Linked DNA regions of Diceros bicornis minor. The protein of the gene in region 1 interacts with the protein of each later gene in a biochemical or structural test. Links are inferred from orthologs where the notes say so. Each region holds a gene or a part of one and is shown in the gene's direction. Other genes may lie near its edges.

Region 1 (14,434 bases):
AACCTTCCATCTCAAAATAACATAACACAAACAATAACTATTGTTTTCTGTTAAAATCTCATCCTTAAAGTGCCTGTGCTCATGTCCCCCCCACAGGCCGAGAACACCTACGCGTCTGCTGGTTCCACGCGTGCCTGGGGGGCAGGGGGTCTGATTTCTTCTGAGTTCTCAGGCTCTATGGTCATTCAGTCAGATGTCTTCCCTCTTTGTCATGAGGGGAGGAGAGACAACCTCGGGAACACTCCAGAAGGTCCCTCTCCAGAGCGATCCGAGTTTCCTTGAGGTCACCATGCATGCCCTAATGATCTTTGCATCACCAGTGCCTAGAGGGACACTTGGCCCAGAACTGCCCCACGAGTGTTTGCTGAACAAGTATTCGAGTGATCAGACCAGAGGACCTGCAACAAGCGCCTGGTGACCCTCATGTCAGGGAGCATGTAGAGGACGGGCAGCCCAGCCCCGGGGTCTGCTGCTGGCTCCCCTGGGAAGGGGTCCCCACACCCCACTTCTTCCAGCTTCCACCTGGGAGAGTGTCTATTCGCTCTGGCTCAGGAGAGCTCTCCTCCCTGGGTCCTGTTCCTTCTTCACGACTCGTGTGTTAGTCGGGCACAGTTCCTGAGGCCCAGCTCAACACCAGCCCCAGGAGCCCGTGAACAGCAAACACAGCACTCTGGGAGTGCCTCCTGAAGCCCACGGTCCTCCGAGAAACGCAGACCTAACAGAGGTTTTAGCGTCCTGGGGCAGCCGTGACAGAGCACCACAAACTAGGGGGCTTGAAACAACGGGAATTTATTCCCTCCCAGTTCTGGAGGCCAGAGGTCCAAAACCAAGGTGCAGGCAGGGTTGGCTCCTTCTGGAGGCTCTGAGGGAGAGTCTGTCCCAGGCCTCTCTCCTGGCTTCTGGGGGCTGCTGGCCATCCCCAGGGCTCCTTGGCTTGTAGCTGCAGCACTCCCATCCCTGCCTCTGTCTTCAGGTGGCCCTCCCCTCTGCCTGTCTCTGTCTCCTCTTGTTTCTTATATGAACACTTGTCATTGGATTCAGGGCCCACCCTACTCCAGGATGATCTCATCTCAAGATGCTTAATTTCTTCTGCAAAGACCCTTATTCCAAAGAAGTTCACGTTCACAGGTTCAGGGACAGGGCCATGTCCTTTGGGAGCCTCCATTCAACCCACTACAGGGGTCAAGGCAGTTCCCATGACCAGAGAGCCTGGAGAGAGGAGGCCTGGCAGGCCCGGCATGCAGGCCAGGAGACATGAGCTTGTCAGGGCTCAGAGAGGAGCCGTTGCAGCTGAGGCCCTGGGGATGGGGCTCCTGGGCAGAGGATGGGTGTGGAGCGAGCAGGGCCGGCCTGGGGAGCGTGAGGCCCCAAGGCCTGGCGTGGCGGAAGAGAGAGAGCAGGAGAGAGGAGGGTGGGGCGTGCCCACGGTGAGACAGGCCAGGCGTCAGGGCCCTGCCGAGGCAGGCCCAGTGCCCCAGGCGCGGGAGAAGCCAGCTGGGAGAGTTGAGTCAGGAGGGATGCGGCCTGATGTGCTTTTGCCTGGAAGTTGGAGCTGGAACCCGGGTGGCTTGTCTCAACGGGCGCCTGACTTCCCTTGGGAAGCTGATGCTGGACCCCAGCGTGGCCAGGCCTGACTCCAGATGAAACACTTCAGCGAAGGGGGTTTGGAGGCCACATGGCCCCTGGGTGGGGGTCGTCTGCAGAGAAGGCCAAGAGCTGACTGGGGGCTCCCAGGCGCCCTCTGGCCGCCATGGGGGGAGCAGACCTGGGCGGGGAGCAAGGGTGGAGCCAGGCGTCAGGGAGAAGTCCTGAAGGAGATGCTGGGGCTGGACCAGGTGGGGGCCGAGGAAGTGGAGGGAGATGATTGGAGATGTACTTGGAAAGGAGAGCCGCCCGTCGGCCCTCCAGAAAACAGCACTGCTGCAGGGTTTTATCACGACTTCCTAAAATTCAGCCTCAGAGGGCGCCCGCACTGGGGCAGAAACCTGGGGCCACAGGAGCCAGCCCCGTCAGGGCCACCTGCCCTGCATCCCCTCCAGGCCCTCCCCGCAGAGTGCAGTCCTGCCAGGCTAATACAAGCAGCCCGACCACAAAAAGCCAGGCAATCAAACTCCAAGAGCACTGTGGCCCGGATGATGTCCCTCGGCACTTTCCCTCCTCGATCCGCCCTGTCCCCCACATCTCAGGGCCAGGCCTCAAGTTGAGGACAGTGCAACCCATACCTCCAGAGGGACGTCACGTGTGCTGGGGTTGGAGCTCAAGTGCCACAGCCATGAGTTGCTGTGCAACTTTGAGGCAGTGGCTCCCCTTCTCTGAGCCTGTCTCCTCCTCTCTAGAATGGGGGCGATAGCCAGTGGGATTAATCCTAAAGAGCAGCCAGCACAGGGCCTGGAACAGTAAGGGCTTAATAAAGGGGTCTATTTTTATAATGTTTCTATTTGGAAAGACTGTGTTTATTCATCTCTGTGCCCTCAACACAGTTTAATAATACCAGCTGTTGTTCACTGAGCACTCACTATCTGCCCAGCACCACTGTAGGTGTTTGACAATCATAATCACTTTAGGAGGGGGGTCCCATTCTGATCACTGCTTTATAGACGAGGAGGTTAAGGCACATGGGGGCCCAGGGTGCGCTGTGAGCAGCGCAGGTTACGGAGAGATGTGACCGTCCTACCCTACACCCCGAGGGGGCCTAGGGAGGGAATGAGGATGCAGGAAAAGTAAAACCAGGGAATGAATAGAAGAAAAACGTTGTGATCTAAGGGTGGAAAAGGCCTCCTTAATGAAATGTCACGGGTGCAAATGACAAAATGGATAAGTTCAATTATATTGAAGTTAAGAATTTCCTCCCATTGAAGGATATCACGGGTGAAGCAAATCGTCACATAACGGTGGGGGAATATGTTTGCAATGTCTAATACTGTGCCCACCTCACAGGGTCATTAGGAGGGTTAAACGGTTTAGTAAATATAAATTTCTTACAACAGCGTCTGGCTCGTGGGAAGCTCTGTCATTATTGAAACTGGCCAGGGCCCAGTATCCCGGCGCTATCCAGTAGAATATGCAAGCTCATACCAAGTTGTAAATTTTCTAGGAGCGCATTCAAATAGTAAAAAGAAACAAGTGAAATTAATTTGAATAATACACTTTAGCCCAATACATCCACATTATCATTATTACGATATATAATCAGTATAAAAAAGAATTAATGAGATGTGATATTTTACGTCCTCTTCTTTCTAATAAGCCTTAGAATCCAGTGTGTACTCTACACTTACGGCACATCTCAGTTTGTATTAGCCCCATTTCAAGTGCTCCGTAACCACGTGTGGAGAGGGGAGAGTTTGTGTTAGATCAGACTGGACAGTAAGATCTAGACTCTGTGAGGAACACGTGCACATCAACAAGAAAAACACAGCTACCCCCACTGCAAAATGGATAGAGTATGAACGGGCAATTTACAGAAGAGGAGAATCCAAAGGCCGTCAAGGAAATGAGGAGATGCTCCAAGTGATCAGAAATCAGAGAAATGTAAAATAAAGCAATGGGGACATCACTTGACAGTGAGTCAGAGTGGCAAAATTTAGAATGGCTGGCAGAGATGTGGGGACATGGCACCCTCCTGCACTGCCAGTGGGTGTGACAAGGGCAGCTAGCCTGGGGGACCACAGAGCAATGGTCTGTGCCCTGTGCCCCAGCATCTCTGCATTCAGGTCTCTCTCCTGTGGAGAGTCTCACCAGGTCCCTGAGGGGGCAGGTCCATGGCTGTTCACTGTGGCGTGGGGAGCTGGAGGCTGCCTGGTGTCCATCCCTGGAGGACAGAGGACTAAGATGTGAGGGATGCATTCCATGGAGTTCCATGGAGCACCAAGCCACAGTTAGAAGAAAACAGATTCAAGAGATTAGCAATACAGAGGGATCTTCAAGGCCTAGTGGAAAACAAGCAAACAACTAAACAAGCAATACAGTACTGAGTGGAAAAAAAGTAAGAAGCCAAATATAACAGAACATGCACATTTTCAAGGAAAGACACAAACAAAACAGTGCATATTAAAGCCACTGGATGGCAGCCTCTGGGGATGGGAGGGAAATGGGGGTACTTCTTTCCAATGTTTATTTTGAAATTTTCAAAGCTATAGGAAACTTACAAGAATACTGAAATGAATACCCATATACCACCCTCCTGGATTCAGCCGCAATTGTTACTATTTTGCCACATTCATTTTTTTCTCTCTCTCTCTCTCTCTCCCTATATCTTTTTTTTTTTTAAAGATTTTATTTATTTATTTTTCCCCCCCAAAGCCCCAGTAGATAGTTGTATGTCATAGCTGCACATCCTTCTAGTTGCTGTACGTGGGACGCGGCCTCAGCATGGCAGGAGAAGCGGTGCGTCGGTGCACGCCCGGGATCTGAACCCGGGCTGCCAGCAGCGGAGCGCGCGCACCTAACCGCTAAGCCACGGGGCCGGCCCTATCTCCCTATATCTTAATACTAAGGTATACCATATTATCATAGTGTATATAAAATGTTGCATACATACATATTTCTTTTTCTGAAGCATTTGACAGTTGCCGGCATCACGAACTTACCTCTAAATAACGCACTGTGTATCTCGTAAGAATGAGAACACTCTCTTACCTAACCACAGCACAGTCCTCACACTCAGGAAATTTAACATGGATATATTATTATCTAATATCCACTCAACATTCAAATGTCCCCAATTATCCCAAGAATATCCTTCTGTAGTGTTTCATCTTTTTTTGAAATTTTTATCAAGGATCCAACTAAGGATCATACATTGGGGCAGGCCTCGTAGCCTAGTGGTTAAGTGCGCGCACTCCAATGCTGGCGGCCCGGGTTCTCGGGTTCGGATCCCGGGCGCGTACGATGCGCCGCTTGTCAGGCCATGCTGTGGCGGCATCCCATATACAGTGGAGGAAGATAGGCATGGATGTTAGCGCAGGACCAATCTTCCTCAGCAAAAAAAGAGGAGGATTGTCATGGATGTTAGCTCAGGGCTGATCCTCCTCGCAAAAAAAAGAAAAAAAAAAAAGGATCATACATTGATTTTGGTTGTCATCTCTCTTTTGTCTCCTTCAATCTAGAACTGTTCCCCAGCCTTTTATCCATTCATTCATTAAATTAATGGCTAGATTTTGCCTTTCACGACACAGATCTGTTTCAAGAGTCCAGGTCAGTTTTTTTTGCAGAACGTCCCTCAGTCAGGACGTGTCTGGTTGTCTCCTCAGGTTAAACACTTCTGGCAGGATGTTGTGTCCTCCTCAGTACATCACACACAGCGGGGGCACGTGAGGACAGCCTGTCCCATCACTGGTGATGGCAACTTTAATTCTCTGGTTAAGGTTCTCTGACTTCAGGTTCATCCACTCTGCCTTTTCCAAGGTACCTTTTCCAAGGTACCTTTTCCCCATTGTTTTCAGGCATGCCTCTTGTGTGTGTGTGTATGTGTGTGTGTGTGAGGAAGATTGGCCTTCAGCTAACATCTGTTGCCAATCTTCCTCCTTTTTCCCTTTTTTCTCCCCAAAGTCCCAGTAGATAGTTGTATGTCATGGTTGTACATCCTTCTAGTTCTTCTATGTGGGATGGTGCCTCAGCATGGCCTGATGAGTGGTGCATAGGTCTGTGCCCAGGATCCGAACCAGGGAAACCCGGGCAGCCGAAGCGGAGTGCCTGAACTTAACAGCTACACCACCGGGCCGGCCCCTAGGCAGCCTCTTGAGCTATGAAATCGAGTAGGAAGTGCCTGGCACTGCTCTGTGCCCTTGGGCAACCCCCTCACCCCTCCCTCGGCACTTCCTCATCAGTCAAGGTGGATTCAGGCTCAAGATTCTGCTGCCCTGAAGCCTCCCATGCTGCCCTCTCCAGGTGTGCAGGAGCAGCTCAGATATCAGGGGCAAGCAGGGCAATGGCAGTCCCACACAGGGCTCTGGCCCAGCCCAGGCACCTGATTGCTCAGTGAGGAGGCAGAGGGCAGCAGAACAGGAAGAGAAGGACAATGGCTGTGCCTGTTGCCATGGCAGGCACGGTGTTTGCCAGCTGGGTGGGGCCAGCCAGGCAGCCCTCAGCAGCTCAGCCCAAGGCCCACTTTCCCACCTCACGTGGCACTCTTGCAGGCCCTGGCGCGGCTGGGGTGCACAGCAGCTCACTCTGGGGACAACAAAGACCCAGTCCTTCAATGAGGCTTGAGCAGGTTCTCAGCAATTAGAGGCCTCCAGGAACTACAAATCCCAGAACACACAGCGAACTCCAGGTCCAGCCCCAGCTGCCCAAGTGGCTGGCTTTGAACCAGAACAAGGAAATCTCACCTGTCCTGGCAACTGAGAGTCCTGGCCTGGGCGAGGTGCATTCGTGTCTTTGTTTCTTGGACGTGTTCCTGCCTGAGAAATCCCAGGTGCAAGCCAAACCTAGAGGTGGTATTACCTGGTCCTTTCATCCACACTTGTGCTGAGACCCGGCTCTGGGCCAGTCTCAGGACCAGGGCGGGGGGAACACTCAGATGGAGGAGACAGACTTATGAAGGGTCCCCTCCCTGAGGGCGGAGGCTAGGGTTAGCTGGGTACCCTTTGCAATCTAGCACATAGCATGTGCTCGGTAAGTATTTGCTGGTCTAACCAACAAGTGAGCAGGCCATCTCGCCCTTGTCCCCCATTCCATTGCACCCTTTCTTTGGTAGCTCCTCCGATATTGCACCACCCTAAAGCACGCTGGATCTCCCCATCCGGCCTCCAGGCCTTTGCAGGCACTGTTCCCTCTACCAGGAGCATCTTCAGCTTACTCGCTGAAGTGTCCCTAGAGACAGGACAAAGCCTGGCACGGAGCAGGGGCACATTAAATATTTGATGAGTGAATGAATGAATGAATGAATGCCCTTGTCCATTGTACACCCCAGGAAGCTGGGACACTCGGGACCCTTCCTATTCATTTCGTCCCCGGCCCGCCCGCCTGGAATGAATGCCTCTTTTTGTCCGCTCCGAGGATGGCCAGGCTGGGGCAGGGGCAGGCCCGGCAGAGGACCGGATTAGGGGCTGGTCTCCTAAAGGGTCCGCTTTTCCGGACTTCCGGAGTTCGCATCCCCTCCCCGGGGCTCAGCCTGGGTCACCTGGCTCCCACGGCCAGTCCCTCGCCCCTCACCCCCCAGTCACCCCAGACGGACGCTCAGCCGGCAGCACGAGGTCAGGGGCCCCAGCTTCCCACTGGTCGTACTCTCCTTCCCTCCCCGCGATGGGCCGGCCCGGCGCAGCTCCCCCTCCGCCGCGCGGTGGTACGGCCCGCCGCGGCCTAGGCGGGGCGGGAAGGTCCACTGCGCCGCGCGGGGGGCGGGCAGGGCCGCGCGGGCGGGGATCCCTCTGGAATGCTTCCGTCGGGCCCACCCGGGCGCGGAGGCGCGGCGCGGCGCCGATTGGCCGCGAGCTCGGGCGGCCGCTCCTGATTGGCCGGGCGCGGGCGCCGGCCCCGCCCCCCCGCGGCTGCGGGAGAGGCCCGGCCGGAGTTTGCGGAGGGCCGAGCGGGGCGCGCAGGGCGGCGGCGCAGGTGAGTGTCCGGCGGGCGGAGCGCGGCGCGGCGGCTCGGGGCCCCTCGCGCGGACCGCGGGGTCGCACCGCGGGGGCCCGGCCGGTCGCGCGGGTGGGGCCGGCCCTTGCACGCGGCGGGAGGTCGAGGCCGGGCGCGGGGATGCCCGAGGCCTCCTCCGGCGGGGCGCCTCCGTTCCCGCTGGGGGCAGCGGGCAAACGCCCCCCGCCGCCGGGATGCGGTCTCCGGCCGCACCCCTGCCGCCCGCGTCCCTCTGGACAGTCCCCGTCCCGGCGGGGACAGGCGCGGCGTCGGCGTTTCGGAGCGCTCCCGGGTGCCTCCCCGGAGCTGGCCGCGTCCCAGTGCCCCAGGGCCTGAGGGGGCCTGGGCAGGACTGAGGTCCCGATAATAATGGTGAAACAGCCGCCCGGCTAGCATTTATTCAACATTTCCCTGTCACGTATTTACCGTGCCTGCCGCTGAATCTAAACACCTCGTGGAAGGTGCTGTTACTTCTTCCAGAGGTGAAGCAGCAGACCCAGAGAGCTGGCGTGGCTGGCGCAAGGGCACACAGCTAGTAAGCGGCAGCTCTGGGACTCGAACCCATGCCTCAGAGTCCAGAACTGGAGTCTCAACCACTAGAGCGGATGCCCCGTGGCTCCCTGGCTCAGGTGTTCCTGGCCAGCTCCCCCCACACAACCACACACACCATCTGGGCCACACCTTCTGGTCTTTGATTCCCTCCCCCAGAGGTGACCAGACACCAGCCGCTCAAACAGGAAGCTGCTCCCATGTCCCTTCTCCCCTGAGCCGAAGAGGCAAGGCCGAGAAGGTCCTGAGAAGAGAGTGACAGCTTCAGGGGAGATAGGCAGGGGGCCAGGACGCTGGGGTCCTGTGCCTGTTGGGCCCCTGGGAAGCCTGGGCCAAGGCCAGGCAGTAGGCATTCTCCCCGGAAACACCCAGGAGCCGGTTTTTCAAGAGTGAATCAGAGGCCTCCCGCCCTCCCCTCCAAAGCAGTACCCAACTGGAAAGGGGGGCCTGGGCATGGTGTCCCCCTCCTCCGGCTTCTGTGACCTCCCAGGAACCCCCTCCCCTCCTCCTGCTGCCCTCACTGTGGCTGTGGGGTTACTAAGTGTCCAGCCCCTCCGGAGAAGAGAGGGTGGGGGTGCTGGAATTCCAGCCGACCAGCTCAGCCGGGCTGCAGCTCCTTTCTCCATCCCTGCTTGCGGGGTTGAGAGGAGGCTGGGAGCATCGGAGGGCGTGGTGGTTAGCAGCTCCAGGCTGCTGTGTGCTGAGGATAGAGGAGTTTGGGGAGGAGTCAGAATGAGGACATAAGACATTCATTCTTTCTACAATGTTGATTAAGCACCTACAATGGGCCAGGCACTGTTCTTGGCACATAGGATACAGCAGTGAACGGGACAAAAATCCCTGCTCTCTGGAAGCTGCCATTGTAGTGGAAGGGAGGGACAGGTGACAGCAGTTAACCAGTAAATAAGAAAGGTACCCGCAGACAGTGCTGAGTGCTCTGAATAAAATATGAGGGGGCCTTGGGAGAATGTGTGGGCAAAGGGGCTCTCAGAGGAGGTGACTTTGGGGCCGAGGTCTGAATGACAAAAAGAAGCCAGCCCTGCACAGGTCAGGCAGGGGCACAGCTGGGGCGCAGGCTCTGTGGCCGGACCCAGCTTGGAGTAGCGTGCCTGGGGTGGGAGATGCAGCCGAAGTCTCTGGGTCACAAGGAGTCCAGAGCTTTTCCTCCGTCAGGTGGGAAACCATTGTAAGATTTGAGGCTGGGGAGGGACGCGATCTGGTTTATGTTTTAAAATAGAGACATGAAGTTAAATAACAGCCTAAGACTGGAAGACAAGAGTCCTGCCCGGGCAACTTGTAATTAAGTTCATGGGCCTAAGCCATCGGGACCACAGGGGCGGTTCCCACAGGCTGGGGCAAGCCAGGGAGGCTGCCTGGAGGAGGTGGCCTGGAGTAGGGCTTCTCAGGCAGAGAGGACTGGGATGTTCCTGGGCAGGGCAGGAGAGGAGGCAATAATAATAATGACAATAATGATAACAGCTTCCTTAAACTGAATATCAAGCAAAGTGCTAATCCAGTTGAATGCATAATCTTTTTGGATTCCCATATGCACCCTGAGAGACAGGAATTCTGCCCATTTTTCAGATGAGGAAACTGAGGCCCCATCAAGTGAAGTGACTTGCCCACAGCCACGCAGCTGGTAAGTGGGGTGGGGTCTCAACCCAGGCCACCCTGCCTCTTGTGGCCTGGAGGGCAAATTCATTAATCATCCACTTTTCTTACCACCGTTATGCCCCCTCACAAGTGGGGACACAGAAGCCAGCCTGAAGCAGGCAGCAAGTAGATGCAGAATATGGAGGTTGGGACTTGGTGATCAGAATGTGTGGGCCCTGGGAAAAAGAGGAAGTTTGAATTTTGGCAGCTGATTGAAAGATGGTACAGATGGAAATAGTAGTAATAATCACCAATATTTATGAACCCTTATTGTGTGCCAGGAACTGTTCCAGGCCCATGCCTGATTTCCTTGGAGCTCAGAGAGGTTAAGACACTTGCCCAAGGTCACACAGCTAGTAAGTGGAGAAGTCAGGTTCCAGACTCATGTTCTTAGCATCTTGCTAAGATATATGGGGGGTGGGGGGAGGGGAACCAGAGGAGGTGATGGTGAGGTTTTTTTTTTAGCATCATTGAATGTAATGAAATAACTTGAGGGAGCAGTACTGGTTTATTCATTCAGAATTCAAATGTTGTCAAATATTCGGTGTGTGCCTACTGTGTGCTAGATCCAGTGTTGGGTGCTATGGATAGAGAGATGAGGTAACCAATGAAACACTAGTATCCAGTACATGTAAAGAGTTCCCACAAATCAATAAGAAAAAAAGATGGGCAGTGCAATTAAAAACAGACAGACCATGCACTTTTTAAAAATGGGCAAAGACTTAAACAGGCAGTTCACAAAAGGGCAAATCCAAACGGTTAATAAATGTGTTAAAAGTTGTTCAGCATCATTGATTATGAGGGGAATGAAAAACAAAACCACAATGAAAGAGGACAGAGACGCTCCCTGTCTTCCTGGCTACAGGAGGCACCTTCCCTGTGCACGGAATGATGCTGGGAGGCAAAGGATGGGGGACCCCAGAGGTAGGGCTTATGCTGTTGCTGGGGAGACAGGACCCTCTTGAGGGCAGTGACTACAGCCTGTACCCCTTATCTCCCCAGAGCCGGGCACAGGGACTGGTGGGCTGGTGAACATTAGGATCAGTCATTCATCCATTCATTCATTCAAGAAATATTTATCGACCACCCGCTGTGTGCCAGGTACTGCTCTCTGCACCGAGAATATAGGGATGAATAAGACAGACAAGGTTCCCTGCCCTTTCAGAAAACAGACAATGAATGAGATAAATGAATGAAATATATATTCCACCTGAAAGAGGTGAGAGACGGAGTTGTGTGGATGCCGGGGGGCACAGCCAGTGCAAAGGCCCTGAGGCTGGACTTGACCTAGTGTGTTGGAGGAACGGGGACGAGGCCCATGTGGCTGGAGGGAGCGAGCGATGGGGAGAGTGGGAGGAGACGAGGGCAGGCAGGAGATGGGCCCAGATCTTCTGGGGCCTGTGGGCTGAGGGGAGGACATTGACTTTTACTCCGAGTGAGGTAGGAGCCTTGGGAGGAGTGAGGGCACAGTACAGATGTGACGTGACTTATGTTTTACAGGCTCCCTCTGGCTGCTGTGTTGACAAGAGACGGTAGGGGCAAGGGCAGGAGCTGGGAGACCCAGAGGAGGCGCCTGCACTAGTCTAGGTGAGTGACCGTGGGGCCGGACCAGGTGATGTTACTGGAGATGTTGGAGAGCAGGTGGATGAATGAATGAATGAATGAATGAATGGAGGCATGAGAATGGATGCAGCCCACTGGGCTGGACTGAATCCAGGATGGCCCCTTGGAAGAGGTGATCTGAAGGGAAGGAGCAGGAAGTCCCCTAGACACAGAAAAATAGAATTTGGCCTAGTTTGATCCTCCCCACAGCCTAGCTGGGTGGGTGGAATGTCCCCATTTGCAGACCAGGCACCTGAGGCCCAGGCGCTTAGGGGACAGCTTTGTGGTTACGGCCTTGGACTTAGGAGTCAGACATACTTGAGGGTGCAGCCTGTCTCTGTGACTTTGGACCTGTGACTTAAAAGTGACATCTTAACTCTTTCCAGTTGAGAAGGCCGGTCGCTGCTGTTCCCTTCCCTCCTGACGCTCTCCCTTGCTCACTCCCCTCTGGCGCCCTGCTCTCTCGCTCATCTGTGAGTCTGCTCAGAACCTCCATGGCTCCCACCTCACTCAGAGCAGAAGCCAAGTCCTTCCTCCTCCCACAAGGCCCTGCTCGCTCTGCCCCGCCCCTCCCTGCCCCGCCTCCTGCTGCTGCCCCCCTGACTCACTCTGTTCCAACCACATAGGCCTCCTTGCTGTTCCTCCAACATGCCAAGCACATCCCCACCTCAAGGCCTTTGTGCTGGCTGCTCCCTCTGCCTGGAACGTTCTTGCCTCACATCCTCATATGGATAAGTCTTCCTGACGTGCAGGTCTCAGGTTCGGCTTCACCTGCTCAGAGAGGCCAGGCCCTCCCTGACCGCATCTGTAGAACTCGTCTTGTTTTATTGTCTCCATCACATTATTAGAAATTACATTAGACATTTACACGTTTGCTTGCTCACTGTGCATCTTCCGCTCTGGACTGCATGCTTCTGGACAGCATGCACAGAGCCCCAGCTAGCCTAGATAGCACCTAGAAGTGACTTAGAAAAAGGCAGCCCTTTCTTCAAGCAGACACATCACCACACCAGGGGGTGGTGCTTTTGCATAGTGAACAACCTCCGTAACTGCACATGGTGGCCCCAGTCAGGGACCTTGCTTAACTTATTGAAGGCAGTACCAAAAATGGTGCATGGAATATAGTAAGCACCCAAAACACATTTGTTTGAAGGGAGAGTGGGGGGAGAGGAAAGACTGCAGTGTATCAGACAGGACAGCTTTTGCTGCAGTAACAACCCCAAAAGGCTTAGTGGTTGAACTCAATGCAGGTTTCTTTTTTGTTCCTGCTCCGTGTCCACTGCAGCTCAGCGGAGGTTGCATTCATTGCAGTCACTCAGGGCCTGGCCTTCTGGAGCCGCCAGCATGTCAAACGTAGCTGGTCCACGTGCCAGGGAGAAATAGCCCTCTGGAGGTTGTCTCTCCAGTAATTAAGTACTTCAGCCTAGAAATGTCACATGTCCCCTCTTCTCACAGCTCACTGGCCAGGACTGGTCAGACGCCTGTCAGTCACAAGGTCACTGAGTCCATCTGCCCACATGCTTTGAAGGGGCACAGTCAGAAATTTTTTATGCATAGCACTACTGACTATGACCGACAGAAAAATAAAGACAAACGTCAGCGCCCCCGGCCTCCATGTTCTCATCTGTGAAATGGGCATAATCATGGCACCATGCGGTCCCACATCGCCACGGGGTGTGCGCACTACGGGAGGGCACGGAGCGGGCGCTGCACCTCCTGTACCGCTGTGTGAGTGTGGCCGGGTGTGCACGAGCCGCTCTGCTCGGAGCGCTCCGCGGGCCTGCAGGGCGCTGCGGTGGGAGCGCCGGCCTGACCCCTCTCCCGCCCTGCAGATCTCGGGCGCATCCTCCGCTCGCCGCTCATGCCGCTGGGACTGGGGCGGCGGAAAAAGGCGCCGCCTCTGGTGGAGAATGAGGAAGCCGAGCCCGGCCGTGGCGGCCTGGGCGTGGGGGAGCCGGGGCCCCTGGGCGGAGGCGGGGCAGGGGGGCCCCACATGGGCTTGCCGCCCCCGCCCGCGGCCCTGCGGCCCCGCCTCGTGTTCCACACGCAGCTGGCCCACGGCAGTCCCACCGGCCGCATCGAGGGCTTCAGCAACGTCAAGGAGCTCTACGGCAAGATCGCCGAGGCCTTCCGGCTGCCGGCCGCCGAGGTACCGCGGGAGCCGCGCGCCGGGGTGCTGGTGGGGGGCTGCGGCTCGGGGCGCTGCAGGTGCGGAGCCTGCGCCCGCGGGATGGTGGGGGCCGGCGGCCAGGCTGGGGCTGAGCTCCCATCGGGCATCGCGAGGCCTGCGCCGCAGTGGATTGTGGGGGCTGGCGGCCAGGCTGGGGCTGAGCTCCCATCGGGCATTGCGAGGCCTGCGCGCCAGTGGATTGTGGGCGGGCATTGGGAGGCCTGCGCCCGCGGGATTGTGGGAGCTGGGGGCTGAGCTCCTGTCGGGCTTTGGGAGGCCTGTGCCCCAGTGGGTTGTGCGGGCTGGCGGCCAGGGCTGGGGGCAGAATTCCCATCGGGCATTGGGAGGCCTGCGCCCCAGTGGATTGTGGGGGCTGGCGGCCAGGGCTGGGGCCTGAGTTCCCATGAGGAATTGGGAGGCCTGCGCCCCGGGGGATTGTGGGGGCTGGAGATCAGATGTAAAATTCACTTCTCCATGATGCGTCGAGAGGCCTGACCCTGAGGACTTTGGGGGCTGAAGGAAGGGAGGCGAGGAGGGTGGCTGTGGGATTGAGCAGGAAGTAGATGCAGGGGTCTCAGCAGGCGGATGGATGTCTGCACCCCTTCATTTATCCCGCAGCATTTATCGAGCGCCCACGTGTGCCAGCTCTGTGCTCTGGAGACAGCAGGCAGTTGTTGCTAAGACAGAAATCCCAGTACTAGCAGAGCGGACATCCTACTGGGGGCCCTGCCCAGGCCCCGGGGGTGGAGATCCCCAGACCTCCCCAACTTCAAGGAGGGAGGTGAGGGTTGAGTGCCTCCCACCGCTGCAGGTGATGTTCTGCACCCTCAACACCCACAAAGTGGACATGGACAAGCTCCTGGGGGGCCAGATCGGGTTGGAGGA
Region 2 (14,712 bases), on another chromosome or scaffold:
CAGAAAGGCCAAAACCTCGGCTAAGACCCCACCCCCAAAACCAGGATGGCCCCACCTCAAGGGCTCAGGTACTGAACTCCCAAAAGACACCATCTATGGGCCCCAGCGCCCACATCGGCCCCAGGGGCACATTCACGAGTAAAGGGGAGAGTTATGTGTGTGCCGTGGAAGGCACCCATACATTAACAAATTATGGATTTAGTGCACCAATTTTGGCCTAATGTAAACTGTGGAATGAACACACGAATTAATGAATTCTAGAATAAACTGTTGAGTTTATGAATAAATTATAGAACTAATAAATTAAAAAGTGAATTAGTTATAAAAGATTATGAAATTAATGAATACACAAATAGATTACAGAAATCTAGAACCCAGGACCCAGAGATTTAGGTTCAGCAAAACCTGGGTCTGGTCTGGTGGGGCCCCTGGGGCCTGAAACTTGCCTTGGAAGAGGTGAGGGTCCTGAGTTCTGCCCCACTTTCCCCTTTCTGTGAACCCCAGCACCTGTTGGGCCATGCAGAGGGGAAAGGCCCTCAGTCACAAGTCTCCTCATAGCTGCGCCCCTTGCCCCCAAAACTTGTCCCCAAAGACCTCTCCAGCCAGGAAGCTGGGCCCACAGCCCCCAGAAGAGTGTGGGGGCTCGGTGAAGTTCTCTGGGTGCCAGAAGAAGCACTGAGGGCTTAGGAAGGCTGACCTAGCAGGTCACCTCCTCCAGACAGTCCTGCTGGATACAATGCAACCCAGGTTGGGGCCGCCACTGGCCCCCACACTGCGCTACCACATGGTGAGTTCTTTTTGGGCTCCCCAAAAAGGAAAGAAAGCACCCAGGAAAATCTGGCGGTCACCTCCTCCAGGGTCCTCAACAGCCCAGAGGGGCTGGGGCAGGTGACCCTGGTGCCCTCCACCTGGACTGCTCTGCCCACGCCCCTCTGGAACGGCCGCCCCGCCCCATCAGTTGGGGAGGGGCAGGACTCCCAGTTGCCGGGCAACCGAGTCAACAAGCCCCAGAGAGTGGCCAGAGTTGGAGGCTCAGACCAAAAAGGCATGATGTACGGGGTGTGGGGCCCGGAAGGGGGTGGTGACAAGGGTCAGGCCCTGGATAACAGTAGCTAAGGATGGATTGGGGGGGAGGGGCGCTGTCGCCAGCAGAAACCTAGACTGTGGCTCTAGCCCCCCGGCCCACAGTGGGCCAGAACCTGGCCCAGGGTCTGGGGTCTGCGGTGCTGTGGGCTGGTTTGGGGGAAGGGAGGAGCCCTGAGGACGGAACCCCCCTGGGGTCGGTTCCCTTTTCCCCCTCATCGACCCTCTCCCCTCTATCACCTCCTCCCTGGGGTCTGCTCTCCCCTCCTCCATCTAGACCCAGCAGGGGACAGTCTAGGAAGATGGGGTCTCCCCTGCAGCAAGCCAGCTGTCCATTCAGCTCTGAGCCCCAGACACACGAGACCGCCCACAGCCACAGACTGACTCACACAAGAACATCCAGACACACACAGACAGACAAACCTACATGCATCCCCCAGAAGGACATGAGTTCAGGACACAATGAAGGCCCACCCCTCCATCTCCAGGCCCTAACACTAAAGCAGAGGGCCCTGAGGCCAATGTGGGGCAGACTAGACCAGACCAGTCCCTGGGGTTCCAGGGTGGGTGGGGTTTGCTGACTGACCGGTGACCCCACCCGTCGGGGACTGGAGCACAGTGAGGATCGCAGCCTCACGGGGAAGGGTCCCTCCCCAAGAGCAGTCTCACGTGGTCAGCCCAGAGGTCTCTGCATTTTCTCAGTGACAGAGAAACAGACCGTGGGCAGGAAGGGAATTTCTTGAAAAGCTGAGTGGGTCAGAAAGTCACAGCTTCCTGCAGGACCGAGAAGGGAGGCTGAGCTGATGGGGACTGTGCTTGGCTTGGCAAATGTGGCTGCGGGGAGTCCAGAGCGGCCGGAGCTGGGAGCGCACGGTGGGGCCAGGCCGGAGGGGCGGGCAGGTGCCCAACGGACACCGTTTGGGCACCAAAGGGAAGCCCTCTTCCCTCGGCAGGGGGCAGGGCCGAGGATGCAGCCCCCGCCGCCGGCGACGGAGGGGGAGCGCATAGTCCCGCGGGAGCGAGCGGGACAGGGCGCACAGGACGCAGGGTTCCGTCAGGAGCGCGCCAAAGGGGCGCCCGCGCCAGAGCCCCCCAAGCCCGGCTGGGCCCTAACGCTGGAGGGGCTGGCGGCCGCACCCCCCGCGCAGCGCCACCGCCAGCTGCTCTTCGGCGACGTGCTTGAGGACGTGGGCGCGGCGGCCTCCATCTTCCCGCGCGAGTCTGTGGAGCTGGGGTACCGGATGCCCGACCCGCGCGCGTGGACGCAGCCGCTAGAGCCGGCGGAGTGCCAGGAGCGGCTCCTCGGCGTCCTCAAGGCAGCCGAGGCCCGAGGCCGAGTCCGCGCCTTGCGACTGCGCTACACCCGCATGCGGGTGAGGCGAGCGGGCCGGAGGGAGGGGGCGGAAAGGCGAGAAGGTTGGGGGGCAGGCCAGGAGAGCAGAACGGCCCGGCCCCCGTGAGGCAAGGGGCGGGGTGCAGACGGATCAAACGCGGGGCGGAGGGGGGTACCAGTTGGGATGCCCTGCGGGAGGGGGCTGGGTGGAGGCGGACGGGGAGTGGGGCAACTGCCCGCCTGGGTGCTCTGCAAAACGTCACGGAGGCCCAGAAACAACCCCGACCCCGGGACCGCAGGCGGAGGAGATCTCGCTCCTCATTCTGCATCAGAAGTCCGCGCGCGCCGCCATCCGGCTGGAGCTGTTCCTGCCGCCGCTGAAGCCCACGCGGATCCGGGACCCCCTGGACCGTCAAGAGGTGCCTGCCAGCCCGGGAAGGGGCAGAGAGGGGGCCCCGCCCGCCTCCCCGCACACCTGGCCCCAGCCTTCTCCCCCGCAGCGGAGGCGCGTGGAGACCATCCTGGAGGAGAAAGTCGATGGCAGCATCTTCCCGCGTTGACGGTGACCCCACAGCGCGCGAACGTGCCCCACCCTCCCACATAAAGCTCTCGTTCTCCAGGCGCCCCCTGTTCTTTCCCCTCCCCCTCTCCAGGTTCGCCGGGAGGGAAGGAGGAGTATGGATGCTGCCTCTCCCCCATCCGATGCCACAGACATCAGGGTACACAGCATGGGGCTCCTCCAACAAAGCAGGAAGGTGCAGGTGGACAGGCGGGCATCAGATTAACAGAGGACAGAGACACTCCTAATCTCCCGAATCCTGGGATGCCCCCATCAGGCAACCTAGTGCCCTGGGATTCCACGAGGGCCCCCAGTCTGGGGGCACAGGAGGTAGAGCCTGGCTTGGCAACAGTCACAGCCCCAGAAGTAAGGGCAGGCTTGAGGAGAAAGTGGAGCCCAAGTGGGACGCCAGATTGCAGGTCATTTCATCAGGGGATCAGGGAAGAGGGTAATATTCTGGGCGGGGGGTGACTGCACAAGCCAAAGCTGGCCTTTGGGGCATCAGCCTTGCCCAGGAGGTCCTCCAGAGGACCAAGAGACTGGGGAAGGGAGACCCCTCAGGGAGGCCCCAGTGCCCCAGACAGAAAATCACTCTCTGGGTTTCCTTTCAATTCTGAATGGCTGCCTCTGCTCCCCTCCGCCCCCCTTACCGGCCCACCACACACACACACATATTCACACACAGGACAGGAAGGAAACCGGCCCTGTCCCATTCTAACAAACCCTTGCCCTGCACCCCCTCTGGGCTCTGAAAAGCCTCCCCAGTTTCTGGGCAGGTCTCCCCTTGGAGAATTGACTCTTCTCGTCAACACAGACTCTTCGCAGAGTCTGGGACTTCTCTAGGGCGCCTCTGCCTTTTCCTCGCTCCCAGCCCCTCCCAGCCCGTGGCTGCAGTGGTGGGGGCTGCAGGGACTCAGCCAAGCCCCGTCCCCTGCCAGGGGGCTCCTGCTGAGTCAGCCCGCAGAGAAGGGATCCAGGAGGGGTGCATTCTTTACTGGCAGAGGGCAGAGCTGGGGTCTGACAAGAAATCCTGCATCATGACAGATGGTGCCCTCCCTGACCTGGCTCAGGGCAGGACAGAGCTGCAGGGGGACCTGGGCTCTCTGTGCCCTCAGCAAGCCCTTTCCCCCTGCACCTGACCCTTTGCCCTTTCTGAGCTGTCACTGCCCTTGGCCCTGATCCAAGCCCAGAAGTACGTGTGGAGCTGGAGTCTGGCAGCTCCAGGAGGGAGGGGAGAGCTATGTATGGTTGGGGGGTGGGGTTACAGGCAGGGAGGGGGAGGAGGAACAGGGTGAGAAAAGGTGGCTTGGGCTGAAGACAGAGAGACAGGGAAGGGGAGGCAGTCTCCCTGTCCAGGAGTGGTGGCCACTGCACCCTGACACACAGGAGGACAGCCAGCCCTGGCCCCTGGCCAAGCCCCGGGCAGTCTGGACCCCAGCATTCTGCCTCTGGGGGATGTACCGAGTGCCTAGGATGATTTCATCTGTTTAGTAAAGCACACTTTATTTCATCACTTCTCTGAGCTTCCATTTCTTCATCTTTAAAATCAAAGTCTTGTGGGTCTCACTTGGCACTGTGCCCCACGCGGTGACCCCACACGGTCACTCTGCATCAGGCAAGCACCAGCTGACAGAGGGACGAGACAGATGCACAAGCCCTGAGGATAAGGCCAGCAAGAAGCTGGGCTCACAGGCTGCTCTGCACCAGACCTCGAACTGGTACATGGGTGCCCTTTGATCCTCATGCCAGGGAGGGGTCCCTAGGTCTGCAGAGGAGACCAGGGAAAGTGGCTGAGGACATTTCTGCGGGGTCTAGAGGAGGCTTCTGCTATGGGAGAGCAAAGCATGTGGGCCAAGGCCCAATGCATTGGGGTTGTGAGGGATCAGGTGGGTCCTCGGGACTGGGAGCTCATGCTCTGGCTAGAGGGTCCTGGGTTCAGATCCCATCTCCAGCATTATGTGCTGCGTCGCCTTGAAAGAGTTCCTGCCCAGCCCACCTAGGTTCCTCCTGTGGAATACAGGGATGCTCTGTGCAGAGACAGACTCCCCAGAGGAGGTACCAAAGACCCAGAAGGGCTGAGGCAAGAGGAATGGAGAGCAGGCTCAAGTGGCCAGAGGATATGGGGAGTCGCCAGAGAGGGGATGTTGTGTGGAGGGCTAGGAGGGAGGAGGGGGGAAGGGGGTTTAGGGTGGAGAGAGACGTGTGCTGACCCCCCCGCCACGGCAGCTGCCCCACACATTTCTCAGGAGGTGGGTGGAGCTGAGACACCCAGCGCTGTGGTGTGTGTCGAACTGGCTATGTGACCTTAACCAGGTCCTGGCCCATCTTTGTGGGACCTACCTCTCAGCACTGCTATCTAGGCTACATAAGAAGCCACCGCCTCCAGTCTGGACAGGCGTCCAGCCTCTGCCCTGTCTCTTCTCACCTCGCTGACCTTGCCCCTCTCCTCCAGCCTGCCCCCACCCCCAGGCCCTGCCCTGCTGTTGCGCTACCCATCCTTTGCTGAGCGAAGATGCGGCGCGATGATACCTCCCTCCTGCCCTGCGGCTGTCAGCAGCCCTCCTCACCCCTCAGCCCGCCTCTGTTTCTCCTCTGCTCCAGGGCAGGTCTGTCTTGCTCACTGCTGGGCCCCACTGCCTGGCACAGGGACACCCGGATACTTGCTGAATGAATGAAGGGCCTGTGCAGTCCCTTCTCCTTATGTGGTGAGGAGTTCTGACACACGTGCACACACCTGCAGTTGGAAGGCATCTTGTGACCAGGCTGAGCCCCTGCACCAGGGACAGGAGCTGCATTGACCTGGGACCAGGGGGACCCTGACATGCCGCAGGCCATTTCCAGAGCATGGTCAGCGCCTCTCCGACACCGGCCCAAAGCATACTGGGATAAGGAATTTAACTCACAGCTGTACCGGGTCATAAAATACGAGGAGAGTGGGCCAAAGAGAAGGGACAGGGCATTCGTGGCAAAGGGGAGGGTGTGGCTTCAAACTTGAGGACATCTTGGGGCAACTGGAGGAGTCGGAAGGGACTAGGCCAGGCCTCACGGACAGGGACATTCGATGAGTCCAGATGTAGGAACCCGGACCCCAGCATCCAACCGCGCCGCAGCACAGGAACCCCTTCCTCGGGAGGCCCCTACCGCACGATACTAGCGCTCTCAACCCATTTTACCCATGAGGGCACCTCGTCTCAGAAAGGCTAGGGCCGGGCCGAGGAACCATCCGAGTCCTTTCCGGCGGCCTCTTCTTATGGCGGGGCCAGCAGCACATCGGGACGCCGAAGTCTGGAGGGCTCTCGTGCCCCCGCCCTGGACTGGAGTCTCGTGGACGCCCACATGAATGGCAAAGCTGGCATGGCCTCGCTGAGCAGAGTGGGGGGCACGGCCACACCCCCATCTACTACAGTGCCAGCTCAGGCCGCCCCGGGGCCAGAGGCCCCATTATTAGCACCTCATCTCCACGGGCCACCCTGAGCGACCGGGGGGACCGAGGCCCTGCGCGGGACCGGGCGGGGCGGTGGGAGGGGGCGGTGGGGCGCGGAGCCGGCGAGCGCGGGGCGGGGCTGGGCGGGCCGGGCGCCTCCCCGCGCGAGGAAGTCCCGGCCCCGCGCTTTGGGGAAGTGCGGCCGAGGCGCCTGCGCACTGCACCCTGCGCCCGCTCCTCGACCATCCGGCCGGACCTCGGAGCGCGCGGGCCGGCGGCGGCGGCGGCGCGAGAGGCTCGGGAGCGCGGCCGGTGAGTGCGCGCGCGCGGCGCCGAGGACGGCGGCCCTGCCCCTCCCAGCCCGGGGCCCTGGGGCCATGCGGGCCCGGAGCCTCGGGAGCCGGCGCCGGGGTACGCACCCCGAGGGCTCCCGCCGCGGGGTCCACGTGGACCCTGGGCCGCGGCGGGACTGGAGCCCGCCCCCCGCGCGTGGGGGAGGGGGCGCTGCAACCGGGTTCCCCTTTTTCTGCAGCGCAAAGCCTGGGGAAGTGATTGCTCAAAGGGGGGGCCCGGAAGAACCCAGGTTTCCGCGTCTCCCGCCCCCCCTCCCCCTGGTGGGGAGGGGCCGAGGCAGGACACCCGGCCCGCCCCCGCCCCCACCCCATTGGATCTGGCAGCGGCTCAGCCCCGCGAGTCGCAGGGGAAGCGCTGCGCCCCCGACCCCAGCCGATCGAGGGCTCCCGGCGCCGGCCTGCCTCCAGAACGTCGCAGGAGTTCCTCCTGCCGTCTGACTTGAGTCGGTGCTGCTGCAGTGCACGCCCCTTCGGCAGCCAGGGTGGGGCCCAGAACGAACCTGGCCCCTTCCGCCCCCACCTGCCTTTGGGTCGCTGGTGAGTGGGAGCGCCACTGCGAGCTCCTTGAGGGAGGGGTGGAGGCGCCAGAGCCTAGAGGAAGAAGCCCCTGAAGGAGACAGGCTCCTCCAGGCCAGCAGAGAGAGGGAGAGAGAGAGAAGCGGGTCACCCCACCATTGCAGGGGTGGGCTGGGGTGAGGGTCACCAGGGCTAGGAAGACCTGGCCTGCCTTGGAGGGTCCAGGCTGGGGCTCTCCCACCAGCCAGCTGGGGAGGGTGGGCAGCATGTAGGAAGGGTACTGAGTAGGATCAGGAGGAAATGGAGCCCCCGGCCACCCCCTCCTAAGGGCGACAGCATTTTTTCTGGGATTGTCACATTTTCTTATTCTTTTTTTGGACTGGCGGGCTCGGGGACGTTCTTTTTCCTTCTGTGGAGCAGAGCAGCAGCCGCTCCCGAGGGAGCCTGTGTCCCTAGAGGCCAAACTTGCTGCCTGTCCTGCCTCTTCCACCCCAGACTTGGGGCCCAAAGCCTGAAGGGGCTGGGGAGGGGAAGGAGGCCCTCTGGGGTGCCAGGGTGAGGGGCAGGGACTTTGGGTCAGACTCTGTACTCCCCAGGAGAGAGCGGGTGCCCTGGGGGCACGGGTGGCCCCAGCCAGCTTGAGATGCAGGGACAGAAGGGACTGGCCCTTCCTCTGCCCCACACTCAGCCCCAGCACCTGGGCCCTGCACCCTCAGACCGGCCCCCTCCTCCAATTCAGGGCTGGGTTGGAGACTGCAGCCGACGGGGTATAGTCTCCAGGGGGCTGGGGGCCTGAGGCCCTGCCCCCACTCACAGTGGGTGGGGTGCAGAGGAGGAAGAGCAGATCTGCCTGGGGAAGTCACAGCGTCTGGGGCACAGCTACAGACCTCAGAGGCTGCCACACCCCTTCCTTTCCCTAGAAACTTGACCCCTGAGGGAAGGCGTGCTGTGGGGCTGCTGCTTCCCCATCTGCTCGATGGGAGCCGGTGGGACCCAGTTTGAGGTCCCCCGTGACCTCAGGGGAAGCCAGGCAGGTGGTGAGGGCCAAGGCCTGAGGTGACCCTGCACTTTGCCCCCAGATTTGGGTCAGGGCAGGGGCCTCTGGTGCCCAGGCCCTGGAGGCAGGGTGCCCTAAGTGTGCATAACTCGGGCGCTGTCTCCTCTGAATGCCCTCATGCTCGTCCTGGCGCCGCACCTGGCCAGAGCCCCAAGTGAGCTGGCATCCCTGCTCCAGGGGCCGCCTGGCCCTGCGGTGGCTGCAGGGCCTGCCATAGCGCATCCGCCTCCACCTTCCTGCCCTTGGAGACCACGAGAGGCCAACTTGGACCAAACAGGGATTAACAGGCCACGAGCTGAGAAATGGGGGGCAGCAAGGAGGATAATGAAATGAGAAAATAAAGTAAAAGCAATTCGTGAGCCTCCTGGCCGGTGAGATATGGCGGGGGCTCAGCAAGGTCCGCGTGCCCGACGTGCAGGGGGCACCCCGGGCCCTGTGGGCCTCACCTGGGCCCAGGTGGGCGCCGACAGGGGCGGTGGTGGGGAGGCTTCAAAACCGCCTCCAGGGCGCCGACTGGCCGCCCGCCTGCCCGCCCGCGCGGACTCCGGGACCTGCGGGGGGCGCGCGGCGGCTGCTCGGCTCGGGCGTCAGCGACCCCACGCGCTTCCACCGCGGAGGGTGCCGCGCGGCCTCGGAGAAGGACGCACTCCTCGCGCCCCGCGCAGGGCCCCCCAGCTCCTACCCAGGAGCCGGACGCCCGCGCCCGCCGCCGCCCCCGCTTCCCCCGACAGGCGCGCCCGCCCTGCTGCGAGGCCTCCGCGCGCGCGCCGCGGTTTCCGCAACTTGGGGGAAGGGAGGGGAGGACGGGAGACTTTGCCAGCTGGGGGTAGGGGTAGGGGCTGCCAGGGGCAGCGTCCAGGACCGAGGAGCCATCTGTCCCGGGAGGCTCATGGCCCTCCTCCCCCATGCGCTGCCCCACTTCCCGCACCCTCAGGAGGTCATGCCAAAGTCCCGTTCAAATCCTCCGTGCTGCAGGCCCAGTCCGCTGCCCCTGGCCGGGGCCCAGGGAACAGGTCGGAATCCTCTGGGGCCCATAGGCCAGTCTGGACTCCTGGTGGAGAGCATCCTACCCATGTCTCCCAAACAGAAAACCTTCAGGACACTCAGGATGGAGGGAGCTGGGGCGGGGAGTGGGGGGGGTCCTGAATGTCTAACCACCACCCCTACATACCAACTTGATAGCCCCAGATTTGGGGGGCCCTCAGACCCTTGGGAGGGGCCAGGAGCCGGAAACCAAGAAAGAGGAACCCAGGCTTCCGGCTTCCCAGGGACGAGCAGATGGGGGTGTCCCAGAACCTCCTGTGGGGGATCTTATCTGGGGTCCCTCCTCACTGAGCTTCACCCATTCACAGCCATGGTGCAGGGTGGGGTGGGGTGGGAGGCAGGGGAGCAGGCCCCACCGGGGCTCCGGGAAGGAGGGAGAGGCTCTCGGGACCCCTCCCAAGAGGCAGGCAGGGGCTGGGTCCCAGGTCTCAGCGAGAACCTCACCTTCTCTCCTCAGACTCCCAGGCTGTGGTGAGGGTCCCGGAGCCAGCACCACAGAGCCCGGGTGACCTGGTCCACCCACCCATGCCCACCCCGCATGAGGCTGAGAAGCAGGTGCGCCTCCTCCACCCTTGCCTCTGCCCTCTGGGGAACTGGGGGGCCACAGGGCGTTAGGAGACCCCTGAACATCTGGGAGGCCGGAAGGGTCATGCCCCTGGGAGTGTGGCCACGAGCAGGCAGGCAGTGGGAGAGAGGTGTGTGTGCCCGTGGGTTCTGGCCTGGAGCCTGAGGCAGGCCCCATCTTCCCCCAGCTCACAGGGCCAGAGGAGGCAGACCAGCCCCCCTCAATGTCCAGTCATGATGCGGCCCCCCCGGCTGCCGCCAGCCGCAGCCCCTGCTGCCTGTGCTGGTGCTGCTGCTGCAGCTGCTCCTGGTACGTGAGGCCTGGGGGTGCAGGGTGCGCGGGCGGGCGGGGCGGGCCAGCAGACCTGGGACCGGGGTCCTGCTCCCCAGACTCAGCTGGCTTCTGAGGTGGCACCTGCAGGCAGGACACCCCTGCCACTCTCAGCGCTTGTCCAGGGGGGCTGTTGGGCCCTGGTGACCAGTGGCCAGTGCACAGGTCCCTCTGTGTGTGTCTTTTGTGCCTGGTGTGCCCAAGAGTGTGTCCGTGTGCAGACACCTGGCCACTCCTGTGTGTGTGTGCATGCACACTCGTTGTCCGTTTACTCAGCACATGCTTACTGACACCACTGTGAGCCGGCCCAGGCTGGCCCTGGGGACCTACAGTGCAGCAAGACAGAAGCGGATCCTACAGACTGTCAGTGACGGGGCCTTGAGCAGAGACCGGGCCCTGGGACGATGGGGACCGCCTTCCAGAGCAGTGTGCCGGAGGGCGGGCGTGGGCCTCCAGGTGGTACCAGTTTTCCAGGCGTGCAGGGAAGCTGTTGGAGTTTTCGTGCCTTGCAGAGACCTGGTCCTATTCAGGCTCTGGCCCTTGGCTATGGGGTGGACAGCACTGTGGGGACCCAAAGTGGGGTCAGCTGACCAGCGAGTAGCTGAGGCCTGAGCCCAGGCCCGAGACGGCAGTGGGGCCCTGGGGGTCGAGGTGGCAGGCCAGGGATAGCCAGGACTTCGAGTTTGGCTGTAGGGGCCAAGGAATGGGTTGGAGTCTGGCAGGCGGGGGTAGGGTGGGAACTCAGTTCCATCTGGGCCTTTGGATTTGAGGTGTCTGTTGGGGTATCTCCTGGTGGCCCTGGCGAGGGCCAGCTGCAGGTATGGATTTGGGAGCCAGCACTGAAGCAGTGCTAGGAGCCAAGGGAGGGAAGAGGTCCCCTAGGGAGAGTCAGGGATCAGACATGCGGCCCGGGGCTTTCCCACTGCATCCCTCAGGGCCTCTGGGAGAAGGGGACGGGGGCCTGTCAAGTCCCAAAGGCAACAAGACAGTAGAGGTCCCCGGGTCACGTGCTCCTGAAGCGGCCTCGGCCCAGGGGCAGTGGACAGCAGGCACAGACACTCCCAGGAGCTGCCTGCCTGCGGCGGGTTCACACGTGTCTGAGAGCCCCTAGGCCTCCTGTTGACACCCGTCAGTGTTCACCGGGTGCGCACACCTGCCTGTCTGCGTGGCCGAGAAGCACAGTGCCCTCTTCCTCTCTGCCGTCAGGAATGAGGAGCGGCGGCGAGCGTGGCGTGCCTCCCGGGAGAGCAAGCTGCGGCCCCTCCCCAGCTGTGAGGCGTGGTGAGTTTGGGCCATGTGCGTGCACGTGCGTGTGCTGGGGGGTCTGGGCGGAGGGGACTCGAGCCTGACCTGGCCTGGCGGCGAATGCCCACAGCGCCACGCCAAGCCCCGAGGAGGTGCGGAGCTGGGCGCAGTCCTTCGACAAGCTGATGCACAGCGCGGCAGGCCGCAGTGTGTTTCGGGAGTTCTTGCGCACAGAGTACAGTGAGGAGAACATGCTCTTCTGGCTGGCCTGTGAGGAGCTCAAGGCTGAGGCCAACCAGCACGTGGTGGACGAGAAGGCGCGGCTCATCTACGAGGACTACGTGTCCATCCTGTCCCCCAAGGAGGTGCGCCACATGGGATGGCAGGGACTGCGGGAGGGGTGGGGGGCGCCTCCCGGACCCTGACCATGGTGCCCTGCCCCACAGGTGAGCCTGGACTCCCGGGTACGGGAGGGCATCAACAAGAAGATGCAGGAGCCATCTGCACACACATTCGACGACGCGCAGCTGCAGATTTACACACTCATGCACCGGGACTCCTACCCCCGCTTCCTCAGCTCCCCCACCTACCGCACCCTGCTGCTCCGGGGGGGCTCCCAGTCCTCCAACGAGGCCTAGGCCGCACTGAGGCAGCACAGACACACGACCCCTCCCGTGGGCAGAGACTCAGATTGCCTTCGCAAGTGTGTGTGTCCACAAGTGGGGGGCACACGCACAGGGCCGGCACCCCTGGGGCAGTCCCAGGCAGGACCTTCAGGTGCAGGCTGAGCCAGAAGCCCCATCCTGCCCAGGGGACCTAGTGCCCCAAGGTCTTGCTGAGAGGCAGGGGTGAGAGCCCCTCCTACCCCAGTCCCCCGCCGGCCAGCCCTGTGCTCTGCACAGCGAGAAGAACCCTCCCAGGGGCGTCTGGGGCCCAGCAGCCTCCCCTGGGCCTCCTCCCTGGCAGCCGTGCTGGAGAATGGAGCCTCTGCACCATCTACTCCGTGGTGGGAGGAGGCCTCCCTGCTTGAGCCGTCCACACCCGGAACCAGGCCCAGAACCTCAAAACCAGGCTCAAGGCAACAGGACCCGGCTTCTCTCTTACACATGCATTAACTTTAAACCTGGAAACATGTCCTCACTGAGTGTTTTATCAAAAAAAAGTTTTCATATTTATCTCCAGTTCTCCTCCCCCCAAAACAGGATGTCTTATTATTGAAGACGTTTTTAAAGCAGAAGTCTCTCCTCTTCCCACGTTTGGAGGGAGATGATGAGAGAGAGGACTTGGCCCAGGCCCAGGGCAGGGGAGCGGCCAGCTCTGTGAGGGAACCTCGCCCTCTGTGTGCTCTGACCACCTCCACCCCTCCTCAGAGCAGCGGCCCCAGTGGGCAGCTGTGCTCAGCCTGCCCGGGTGAGGGCGCCGTGACCTGGGCAGTGTGGCCCCACAGCACCTCACCAAAGCCCATGATGCAGTGAGAAGCACCACCTGGGCCCTGGGTGGTAGGGGTCCCTGGCATGTATTGAGGGTCGTCCCCAGAGGCTGGCCGGCTGGGGCAGGACACTGATGGAGCTGACCTCCCTGAGGACTCCTGGGTGCCAGGCAGTGTCACCACCATCTTGCAGGCCCCACAAGGCACGTGCTTGCCACTCAGTTCCCTCAAAGGTGAAGCGATTCCAAGCTGCACCTGGCCCAGGGCCCTGAGGCTCTGGTCCAGGGTCCACGAGCAGAGGCAGGGTGAGGACGAGCCGTCCGGAAGGGTCATGGACAGGCATGTAAGCCCTGGGCCCTCAGCTGCGGGGCCCGGGGAGGGTCCCCTGTGTGCCCAAGGCTCCTCCCGCCCAATTACGCCTGCACACGACCACCCACACACCTATGCCCAGCACGTCAACCACCTGCCCCTCATCTGCGGGGCACAAAGGTAGGGCCCACCCAGCATCCTGGAATCACATGGTCTGCACTGAAGGCCAGCAGGCTCTTCCCGCCAGGGCCAAACCCAAGCGTCACCTGACCCCAGGGAGGAGGGTTGTCCTTGGCGGCAGTGGGGGTTCAGACCAGACGTAGGGGGTGGGGGACCCAGCTCGCAGCCCAAGCCTGTGTACGGCCCACCAGGACCAAGAGCCAGGAACAGCACAGTGGCAAAAAGAAACATTTAATAATTTGGGAGGAAGAGGGAAAAAAGTGCACTACAGGCAGGGTGGAGGCAGGACGCGCTGCCTCCTGGGGAGGGCCAGGGGGCCCAGGGCAGATCTCCAGAGAAGCTGTGTCTGCTGACAGGACGTGGGAAGGCCATGGCCCAGGGCTGCAGGCACACGTGCACAAGGGCTCAGCAGAACTGCAAGAGACCCAGTGAAAGGGACAGGCGCGCAGCCCATGTGACCCACAGGGCGAGAGGCAGGGCTGGTGGTCTCCACCCACCATCTCTGAAGCTCCCAGGAGGCTGGCTGGCATGGCTGTTCCCCAGTACACCCCACACTGACCCCACCCAGGCTGGAAATACCTGCCTCTGGAGGACGGGGCTGGGGTGGCCTGGCTGGCCCGCCTACCTTCCAGCGGTTTCCACACTCGTTGCAGACGACAAAGGTGGTCATGGGCTCATCAGAGCTGCGGGTCTGCACCTGTGGGGAGGGCCGTGCTCAGAGGGCCAGCCCCAGGGCGCAGTCCCTTGGAGCAGGAGGCCCCGGACAGCAGGTCTTCCTGGAGTCACAACCTGGGGGGCCACCAGTGCCTTGGCAAGCGCTGGCCTCGCAGCTCCGGGGCTCCCAACCTTCCAGCCGCCCAGACCAGTCTCCTCTTACCGGGGGCCCCGACATCTCTTGGGGTCCACATCGGTGTCCACCTCCATGGGTCTGAGTGTAGCCCTGCGGCCACCACTGCAGCACACCCACCCTCCCGCCAGCAGCAACACTCCTGGGGGCCCCTCCAGGGGGCCCAGGAGGCCTGGGGAGGGGGAGGTCGCAAAGGTGACCCCGGCAGGGACTCACACTGGGACCCCAACCCTGGCACCGTTCACACCGCCTGTGTCCAGGCGTGACGCTGGACCCAGGCCCACACGTGTGGGGGCAAGTGTGGGCGCCCGAGCCCCAAGACGCGGGGCCCTGAGAGGGTGTGGCCCCGCCCACCTGCGTGTAGGTGCAGTTCTTCTTCCTGCACTTCCCGCAGGTGAACAGGTCAGTCTGCGTGCCGCCCGTGCGCGCCATCTGGTG

What was found.
Region 2: the proteins of GIPC1 (region 1) and RGS19 form a complex in vitro, tested with the Homo sapiens proteins (2 studies listed by BioGRID). The link is inferred for Diceros bicornis minor from reciprocal best matches to the Homo sapiens genes GIPC1 and RGS19.

What each region holds. Positions count from the first base shown.
Region 1 is NC_080769.1:3,388,271-3,402,704, forward strand, and holds the start of GIPC1 (PDZ domain-containing protein GIPC1), read left to right. Parts: upstream 1-7,504; 5' UTR 7,505-7,554; intron 7,555-9,708; 5' UTR 9,709-9,763; intron 9,764-10,779; exon of another isoform or gene 10,780-10,996; intron 10,997-11,277; 5' UTR 11,278-11,364; intron 11,365-13,211; 5' UTR 13,212-13,240; coding exon 13,241-13,528; intron 13,529-14,360; coding exon 14,361-14,434. UniProt on the Homo sapiens protein: May be involved in G protein-linked signaling.
Region 2 is NC_080758.1:170,046-184,757, forward strand, and holds RGS19 (regulator of G-protein signaling 19), read left to right. Parts: upstream 1-6,667; 5' UTR 6,668-6,711; intron 6,712-6,852; exon of another isoform or gene 6,853-7,289; intron 7,290-9,826; 5' UTR 9,827-9,894; coding exon 9,895-9,924; intron 9,925-10,121; coding exon 10,122-10,243; intron 10,244-11,470; coding exon 11,471-11,545; intron 11,546-11,639; coding exon 11,640-11,874; intron 11,875-11,955; coding exon 11,956-12,147; 3' UTR 12,148-12,693; downstream 12,694-14,712. Other genes in the region: protein LKAAEAR1, read left to right, coding at 2,052-2,456, 2,716-2,835, 2,917-2,976; TCEA2 (transcription elongation factor A protein 2), read right to left, coding at 13,833-13,841, 14,053-14,124, 14,629-14,712. UniProt on the Homo sapiens protein: Inhibits signal transduction by increasing the GTPase activity of G protein alpha subunits thereby driving them into their inactive GDP-bound form. Binds to G-alpha subfamily 1 members, with the order G(i)a3 > G(i)a1 > G(o)a >> G(z)a/G(i)a2.